2 linked regions of the Oryctolagus cuniculus genome follow. The protein of the gene in region 1 interacts with the protein of each later gene in a biochemical or structural test. Links are inferred from orthologs where the notes say so. Each region holds a gene or a part of one and is shown on either strand. Other genes may lie near its edges.

Evidence for each region.
Region 2: the proteins of UBE2D2 (region 1) and TRIM5 form a complex in vitro, tested with the Homo sapiens proteins (2 studies listed by BioGRID). The link is inferred for Oryctolagus cuniculus from reciprocal best matches to the Homo sapiens genes UBE2D2 and TRIM5.

Annotation. Positions count from the first base shown.
Region 1 is NC_091437.1:27,258,633-27,263,658, forward strand, and holds the start of UBE2D2 (ubiquitin-conjugating enzyme E2 D2), read left to right. Parts: upstream 1-1,779; 5' UTR 1,780-2,246; coding exon 2,247-2,270; intron 2,271-2,783; exon of another isoform or gene 2,784-3,302; intron 3,303-5,026.
Region 2 is NC_091432.1:61,208,257-61,212,491, reverse strand, and holds the end of TRIM5 (tripartite motif-containing protein 5), read left to right. Parts: intron 1-594; coding exon 595-701; intron 702-1,923; coding exon 1,924-2,024; intron 2,025-2,284; coding exon 2,285-2,311; intron 2,312-2,557; coding exon 2,558-3,129; 3' UTR 3,130-3,438; downstream 3,439-4,235.

The sequences.
Region 1 (5,026 bases):
AGTAAATAAAATAACCATAAAAATTAAAAAATCGGAAACAATTTAAATGTCTCCCAATGTGTGACCAGTTAATATGGTACTTTTTTTTTTTTTTTGAAATATTTATTTATTGGGGCCGACGCTGTGGCTCACTTAGCTAATCTTCCACCTGTGGTGCAGGCATCCCATATGGGAGCTGGGTTCTAGTCCCGGTTTCTCCTCTTCCAGTCCAGTTCTCTGCTATGGCCCAGGAGGGCAGTGGAGGATGGCCTAAGTGCTTGGGCCCTGCACTGGCATGGGAGACCAGGAAGAAGCACCTGGCTCCTGGCTTCGGATTGGCACAGCGCCAGCCGTGGCGACCATTTGGGGGGTGAACCAATGGAAGGAAGACCCGCGCTGGCCCCCACATGTCTCTATTTCTTGCAACAAATGCATATTACTTTTCTAATATACAGTTATGGAGAAAAAAAATTTGTTAAAGATTTATCTATTTGAAAGGAAGAATTGGGTGGGGATAGGAGAGAGAGAGAAAATTTTCCATCTGCTGGTTCACTTCACTAATGGCTGCCGAGGACCGGTGCCGGTCCAGGCCTAAGCCGAAAGCCAAGGAGGTTCTTCCAGGTCTCCCACGCGGGTGGCAGGGGCCCAAGCACGTGGCGGTTGAAAACATTCTTAAAAACCTGCCCAGTGGTTATTTTGTACCTCTCTCAGATTTCTTAGCAAGAAAAGATCTGGGGCTGTACAATGTTCCTCTTCAGCTCGAAACTCAAAACACATCCACTCTGGACAGCTGGATAACGGTTCTTCACGGGGCCGCGGGGGCTCTGCCCTGAGGATACAACCCAGGCGGCTCCCCACTCCTGCACCGTGGGACTCAGCGGGCCCCAGTGTTTACCTTCTAATTTCAGGAGTTAGAATCGGTCTCTTTCAGATGTAAAGGAGGCAGCATTTGAATCACAAACCCTGCGGGTGAATGTGAGAATATGGGCATTTTCTCCCAGCAAAATATTCCTGGCTACCTCCCGCTAGTCTCCAGCTAGATCACGAACACTGCCTGGCCCAGGCTGGGCCGTGCACTACGTTATTCTGGTCCTGGTGGAGGGCTCAACAGACAAGGTGCTGAGCTAGCGCTCTGCTTTCAGCCCCTGAAAAACCACTTCCCACATTCCACGTTCGCCTGCTAGCAGGCGCAGGACGCTGGATTTAACTACGGGGCACCGCGTATTCGAGGTAACTGCACCAAGCACCTCCCCTAACGCTGACATGCCCTCTCCCGCCCGGGCCCTCGTGGCGAAGGGCAATCTCGGGGAGGATACCCCCGATCCCGGCGGGTGCCGACTGCCGCCACAAAGCTGCGGCCAAGTGGCCCGTGCAGACCCCAAGACTTCAGATAAGTCCGAGTCCGGCCGCTGAAGAGCTGTTTGACCTTGGACAAGTCCCTTCCGCCTTGCAGGGACTTTGCAACGTGCCAAGTGCCCGCTCGGGGGACTAACGCGGGAACGGGCTAGCGACCTACAAAGCCTCTGCTTTCACGTGCTTATCGAGCTTCAACTACACGCGCTGGGGGGTACGACACGCAAAGGATCCGAGGGGCGCCGCGCGGGAGCGACCAGAACCCGCGCCTCGCCTCTCGCGAGATCTCCCAGCGCTTCGCAGCGTCATCCCCTCGGCGGCCGCGGCGGCGACAGCGACGGCGCGTACGAGCCTCACAGGGGCGGCACGTATCCCTCCGCCGCCGGCGCGGCCCGGCCCTCCCTGCGCTGGCCCGCCAATCCCCGCGCCTCCCGGCCTGCCCCTCGGCCTGGGCCCACCCCGCGCTCGGCGGCCCCACCCCGGCGGCGCCGCCCGCCCGCCCGCGCGTCCCTCGGTCCACCTGCAGCCCGCAGGAAGGCCGGCAGTCCCTCCGGCTGTTCGACCGAGAGGCGCCCGCCGAGCCCGAGGCTTGGGCGCTTGCTCCCCGGCGGAGGGATCCGTGGCGGCTGAGGAGGCGGCGCTGAGCCTGGGAGGAAGAGGCAGCTACGGCGGCGGCGGCGGCGGCGGCGGCTGGGGCGGCAGCGCATAAAGGGGCCGCCGCCGGGTGATGCGGTGACCGCTGCGGCAGGCCCAGGCGCTGAGTGGGCCCCGGCCCTCAGCCTGTCCCGTCGGACCCGCGTCCCCCACCTCCCCGTCCTCTTCTGCCGACCCGCGATCCCGAGGCGGCCTCAGCCCCCCTCGTCCCTTCCCCGTCCCTCCCCTGCCCGGGGGGCCGCCGCCACCCGCCTCCCACCATGGCTCTGAAGAGAATCCACAAGGTAAGCCACCCGGGGTCGGCTGCGGGGCGCGGGGCGCCGGGCGCGGGCCGGCAGAGCAGCCTGCGGCCTGCACTTCCCGCCGTCGCCTCCGCCGGGCTTGCGGTCCCTGGATCCCGGTCGGCTGCGGGCGCCGGCCCCGCGGGGCGGCCTGCACACCCCACTCCCAGTGATGGCGCCCGTGGAGGCCCCGGCGCGCAGCCTGCGCTGAGGTCGGAGGTGCCCTCGCCCCCTCAGCGCGCCTCCCCGGCCGCTTTTCCCGGCCCGCGAGGTGTTGAGTCCCAGGGCCTCCGTCCAGCCTGGTACTGCTGAGTCGAGGGCCATTGTCCGGCCAGGCCGGGGTGGGGGGTGGGAAGGCTGGGCGTTGGGCTGTCCGGGCGCGCCCGGTCTCTGCCCACTCCGCACCCCGCCTGCCCCAGTTGCCTTCGCAGAAGCCCCGGAGCTCGGGGCCCCTATCTCGGGCCGCTGGAGGAAGCCTTTTTGCCCGGCCCTCAAGTAGTTCTTGAGTTCACTTACCTCTTGGGCGGCTGCATGCTTGGGTCCATCCTGCTTGTCCAGAAACAGAGAGCACAAAGTTCGGAAGGAAAAGCTGACCCTGATGAGGAAGGAGGGAAGTAAAAGCAGAAGGCGGTTTATTGCTTTGAGATTCCCATATGTAGTCGGCCACTGGCCCTTGAGTTTTGCGAATTGGTCTGCTAGATAAACGATTACCCTGCAAGGGTAGCAACCAGTCGTTTCAGAAATCTGACCATAGGCAACCACAGGAGAAATTTCAGAAAGATTGCTTTCCGCAGTCTCTTCGCAAAATGGGCTTTGAGGTTGAAATTAGGCGATACTTTTAGGAAATCCTTTTTAGGAGGAGTTTTACTAGGTTTTCTGTTAGAAAGGACTTTGCTCCTTAAAAGGAATGTTTATTAATTGCGTTATTTGGAAGGAGGTTTTCCTGATCCTTGGCTGGAACCATAGCCTTCACCCGATATTGGAAGCTGTCAATGCAGCTTACTATTGTTTTTGTTTTTTTCCTTAGAAGTGAGGAGGCACCACTGACATTTCTTTGGGTGTTCCACTTGGCTAGTCAGATTGGCTATATTAACCTGCAGCTGCTTAGGGAGAAGTAGGTGCTGGGATCCTGAGTCCTGAATGGTGGTGATGAGCATGCAAAAGGGAGAGAACCAGTTTTCGTCTTGCCTTAAACTAAGAATGCAGGTTGATGATTTAAACACCTCAGTTCAGGCATTGATCTTCATTGCATTTCATTAAAGATTGGAGACTTTTATTGTGAAATTATATTTTTTAAAATATTTATTTACTTGTTTGAAAGAGTTACACAGAGAGAAGGAGAGGCAGAGAGAGAGAGGTCTTCATCTGTTGGTTCGCTCCCCAAATGGCTGCAACGGCTGGAGCTGCGCCGATCTGAAGCCAAGAGCCAGGAGCTTCTTCCGGATCTCCCACATGGGTGCAGGGGCCCAAGGACTCAGGCCATCTTGTACTGTGTTCTCAGGTCATAGCAGAGAGCTGGATCGGAAGAGGAGCAGCCAGGACTCAAACCACGGCACCCATGTGGGATGCTGGCACTGCAGGCGGCGGCTTTACCTACTATGACACGATGCCAGCCCAACATTGTTTTCTATAAATTAGATTAGATCATTAGCGACATTTTTGAATTTAAAGCAAATGATAAAGAGCAGACTTTAGATAAAGTAAATCTTGTAATAGAATGAAGTGTTTGTTAAAAGAAACTTGAACTTAAAGTAAGGTCTTGGGAGTTAAAAGCAGGAGCACACTGAGGAATGTTCTCCCAAGTGAAATGTTTGTGAATAAGTATTTTAAGACTTCTAGAAGTTATTAGGTTCTAACAGAGTTTAGTGGGGAAGTTATCAACCTGAGTTGACACTTGGTTTTATTTCTGTAGAAGAATGCTCTTATTTTAAAACCTAAAGAGGATTGTGAGTACAGTGTATAGTACTTCACAGATCCAGAAATGTAGCATTTAATCTGTGCATTGATATATTGTGTTATGGATAACTGCTTTGGAGAAGAAAATAGCACTTTGATTCACAATACATATTTTAATCTAGTAATACTTGTACCCACTAATAAGATTTCTTTTGAGTTACTATCTATTTTCTAGAATTGTCTTTTTCTAAAATATACCCTTAAAAAATTTTTTTTTAGTAAAAACAAGTTTGAAAATGATAATTTGAACTTTCAAATCTCAGCATTAACCTCTTTTTCCCCCCCTGGTTTTTTTTTTATTATTTTTTATTTTTTTTTTAAAGATTTATTTATTTATTTGAAAGTCAGAGTTACACAGAGAGGAGAGGCAGAGAGAGAGGTCTTCCATCTGCTGGTTCACTCTCCAGTTGGCTGCAACGGCCAGAACTGTGCCGATCCGAAGCCAGGAGCCAGGAGCCCCTTCTGGGTCTCCCACGTGGGTGCAGGGGCCCAAGGAGTTGGGCCATCCTCTACTGCTTTCCCAGGCCACAGCAGAAAGCCGGATGGGAAGTGGAGCAGCCGGGTCTTGAACCGGCGCCCATATGGGACGCTAACACTTCAGGCCAGGGTGTCAACCCACTGCACCACAGTGCCAGCCCCTCCCCCCTGGTTTATAATCTAGAGCCATCTTCAAAGTTTGACACCTTCTGTGAGACTATCAAGAATTAGAGAAATGAGATTTATTTATGCTGTACCAGTCAAAAAGATTCTGAAAGCAAAGTGGACTTAATTGTTTTCAAACTTTTTGTATGATACTAATTTTA
Region 2 (4,235 bases), on another chromosome or scaffold:
TACCACAACTTCAGTTTATAATCTGATTCTACCACGTATTAAAACAACAACAACAACAAAAAAAAACATTTATTTGAAAGAGTTAGGAGAGACAGAGAGTTAGATCTTCCATATGCTGGGTCACTCCTCAGATGGCTGCAATGGCCAGGGCTGGACCAGGCTGAAGCCAGGAGGTCCGTCCTGGTCTCCCACAGGGTTGGCAGAGGCCAAGACACTTGGGCCATTTTCCATTTCTTTTCTCAGGCCACTATTAGGGATCTGAATGGGAAACTGAGCAGCCCAGACATGAACTGGCACCCATACTGGATGCCAGCTTCACAGGTGGTGGCTTTGCCCACTACAGCACAATGCTGCCCCCTGCTACAGATATTTAAAGAGTTAGATCAAGTGTGTGACTGTCCTGAGGAGAGAGGCTAAGGGAAGAACCTGCGATTTCTAAGTATGGGTAGCAGACACAGACGGGCAGATATTATGTGTTGATATGTAGTTTTTCTATATTTTGGGAAACTGACAACCTTACATGAACCTGCTGAGGTGATTATCTTGAGTCTTATAATTACTTCTCTTTCACACTGGGACCATGTCCATTTTCAGCACATCAAGGGCTATTGGGATGTGATGAAGCATTGCAAGCAAGGGATGCCTATTATTACTCATGTTTTTTTCTGTTCTCCTCAGGATGTGAATGACATCATTTACAGGTACGTGTTGTGTGAATCCAGGGATGGTCCTGTGATGCTGTGAGAAGAGATTTGTAGCCATTAGAATTATTTAATATTCATATAGAAAAAAAAGACCCAGGGTGGGGAAATTTATATGTCATGATATCCCAAATTTCTGATGATAATTCTCAGATTGACTGTTCTGCAACTACATGGAACAGACAAGATTCTATGGTCGAGAATTTGAGTTGTGGAAGTCACAGGTTTGCTGTCAGTATTGATATTAGGGATAAGATATATTAGTGTCAGACCCCTGTGATATCACTATGGAATTTACCCTCTGTTCCTTCAACTAGATCTGTTTATGTACATAAAAATAATATTCTGGAGGGCGTGTATCGTTTTTGTCTGCTAAGTACCCATAATGTCCAGTGAGACAGTTCTTGCATATTTTTTCCCCTCTGGCAATAGAAATGATCAGGTCCTTCTTCGTGGTTCTATTTAGATATTCAAAAACAGATTTGAATCTCTTGGAACAATGCTTTCGTTCCCTCATACAAACACTTGATCCATCTTAGTTGTCAGATACTTTCAAAGAGTGTGGAAAGGTGTCATTTTGATGTCTAAACCTTTGTAAAATCAAACTCCTTCCAAACACATGGAACTCAGACTAGTATTACTTTGCTGTTTGTAATATGTCCTTTGTGAGGTGTTTGTAATTTTCACCCAGATAGTCTGGGATCTCAGGTGTTGTCTGAGGGCCAGGCTGTTTTTTGAACAGTCTTTGAAGATCTTCGGAATCCCCAGATAGGAAGCCACATTTGATATGTCTCAAACTTCCAGGAATCAGTTTCTACAACCTCACTTTCTATCTCCCTTGGAACCTCTACCCAAGGCATTGATTCTACCACATATTAAATACTTTATAAGGTAACAAAGTTTGACTTCATTTTCATTTTCAGGTCTATAATTGCATCTTCCTCTATGAGTCTAGGATATGCAGAGGGTGAATTTAATTATTTCATTTTAGAAAGAAGAAATTGCTTCTGAGAGGTCCAGATCTGTTCAGGTTCACACAGGCAAAATAGATGGAAAAGTGAACATCAGAAAATTCCTTCTGGCAGGATTCTACCCTCTCCCTTCTCAAGAACCCCCTTAGAGAGGATTCCAGTGCATTAGTGGAGTAAAATGATAAGAAGCTGATGTTAGGGGAACACAGGGTCAGAGGTGTGGAGGTCAATTTTGTCTTTTTGCATTTTAGGACTGAGACCTTCACCTTGAAGAAGCCAAAAACTTTTCCTGAGAAAGAAAGGAAATCATTTCAAATTCATGAGCTGAAAAGGACAATGCAGATGTTTCAAGGTTAGGAGAGCTAGATCCAGTGTCTGGCTGTGGATGAGGAGATACTAAGTGGGAAAGCGGGTACAGTTCGTAGATATGTATTGAAGAGACAAGGGAGGATGCACGTTGTGTGGTAATGTGGTCCTATTTAATGGGGAACCACAAGGTCCTGGTTCACTGTCCTACCGTTGTCCTCTCTCCTTCCCCTAATCTGGTGAAGAAATAGATTTCAGTGCTGTCTTATTTGCTTATATTCAGTACTATGATTTTTATCATTTCAGACCTGAGACATGCCCAGCGCTATTGGGGTAAGTGTACATCACAATATTACAAGCCATCCTGTTGCCATCTTTCAGAATTTTGTTCTCTAGTAAGTCTCATGTTGATCACTCATGTTTCTCTTTTCAACACACATGGAGTTTCTGCAGTGTTCTGCCTCTGCCGATGACCAAAGTTCCACCAAGTTCCAAACTCTCAAGTTCTTCTCAAGATTATTCTCATAACATACAAATAACTACATCATGTCCCTAACCTAACCCTCTATTTTTCTACAGTTCACGTGACATTGACTCCAAGCAACAATCAAAATATTGTCATTTCTGAGAATAAGAGACAAGTGATGTATGTGCATTACCATCAACGTCTCAATTTATTTTCTCTTAGTGATGATCATGGCTTTCGATATGGGACTAGGCAGAATTATTTTGATGGCATCCTGGGTTGCCCAAGTATCACATCAGGGAAACATTACTGGGAGGTAGATGTGTCTGGGAAAAGTGCCTGGATCCTAGGTGTATATGGCCCACCCTTATTGCAAACCACAACATCGTTTGCTTATGAACAAGTTTCAAAGTATCGGCCTATAAATGGCTACTGGGTAATAGGGTTGCAAATTCAATATATTTCTTTTGAGGAAAATGCCATTTCCTTAACACCCATTGTTCCTCCTTCTCGTATTGGAGTTTTCATAGACTATGAGGCTGGCATTGTCTCATTTTTCAGTGTTACACAGCACAAGTTTCTCATATATAAGTTCTCTGCGTGTTCTTTTTCTAAGGAAGTTTTTCCATATTTCAATCCTATGCATTGTCCAAAGCCCATGACAATCTGCGAGTTGAGCTGTTGAGCCTCCTTATACCCTCCACTTCAGTGTGGTATCTCTTACCCTGGGGTACATCTCTTGTGTCTAAGCCCATCTGTACCATTTTAACTATTTTTTCCTTTTGAGTGTTTCCATCCTTTCCATTTGAATGTTTTTCATTCACTGTAAATAAATGGTTTCTAATAATATGTATCAGTTTACTTTCAAAATTGTTTCCTCCACCATGTTTTAAGAAATAGAATAACTTGATTAAAGAATCACAAATTATTTATTTTTAGCAAATTGTAAATAATTGTCTCTGTATAATTAAAAAAATTGTTCCTATCAAGTGCATAGCTGTGTCATCTTTTATTTTTTATTTCTGCAATAATTCTGCTTCATTGGAAATCTTTTACTGTGTTTATTTAAAGTGTTGTTTAAAGACTTGTTTGCGGGGGCCGGCGCCGTGACTCACTTGGTTAATACTCCACCTGCAGTGCCGGCATCCCATATGGGTGCTGGGTTCTAGTCCCGGTTGCTCCTCTTCCAGTCCAGCTCTCTGCTGTGGCCTGGGAAGGCAGTGGAGGATGGCCCATGTCCTTGGGCCCCTGCACCCACGTGAGAGACCAGGAAGAAGCACCTGGCTTCTAGCTTCAGATAGGCATAGCTCCGGCCTTAGTGGCCATTTGGGGGGTGAAGCAACGGAAGGAAGACCTGTCTCTCTGTCTCTCTCTCTCTCACTGTCTATCAAATAAAATTTAAAAAAAGACTGATTTGCCAGGCCAAAGCTAGGAGCCTGGAATTCTATCCAGGTCTCCCATGTTTGTGCAAGTGCCCAGGGACTTGAACCATCATCCTCTGTTTTTCTAGATGCATTAGCCTGGAGCTGGATTAGAAGTGGAGCAGCTGGGACTCAAACTGCTGCACATTTTGGATGCCAGTGTTGAAGGTAGCAGTTTAACTCACTGTATCACAATGGCAGTCCCTCTGTTTATTTTTTAAATGAATTTTAAAATATATTTTGCACAGTGGTACAAGGAGAGGCAGAAGTTGAATTCTGAAAATTCTTGATTATAATGTAGGTAAGTTTTGCTGATTACCTTCAGTCTTTTTTTTAAAACTTTTATTTAATGAATATAAATTTCCAAAGT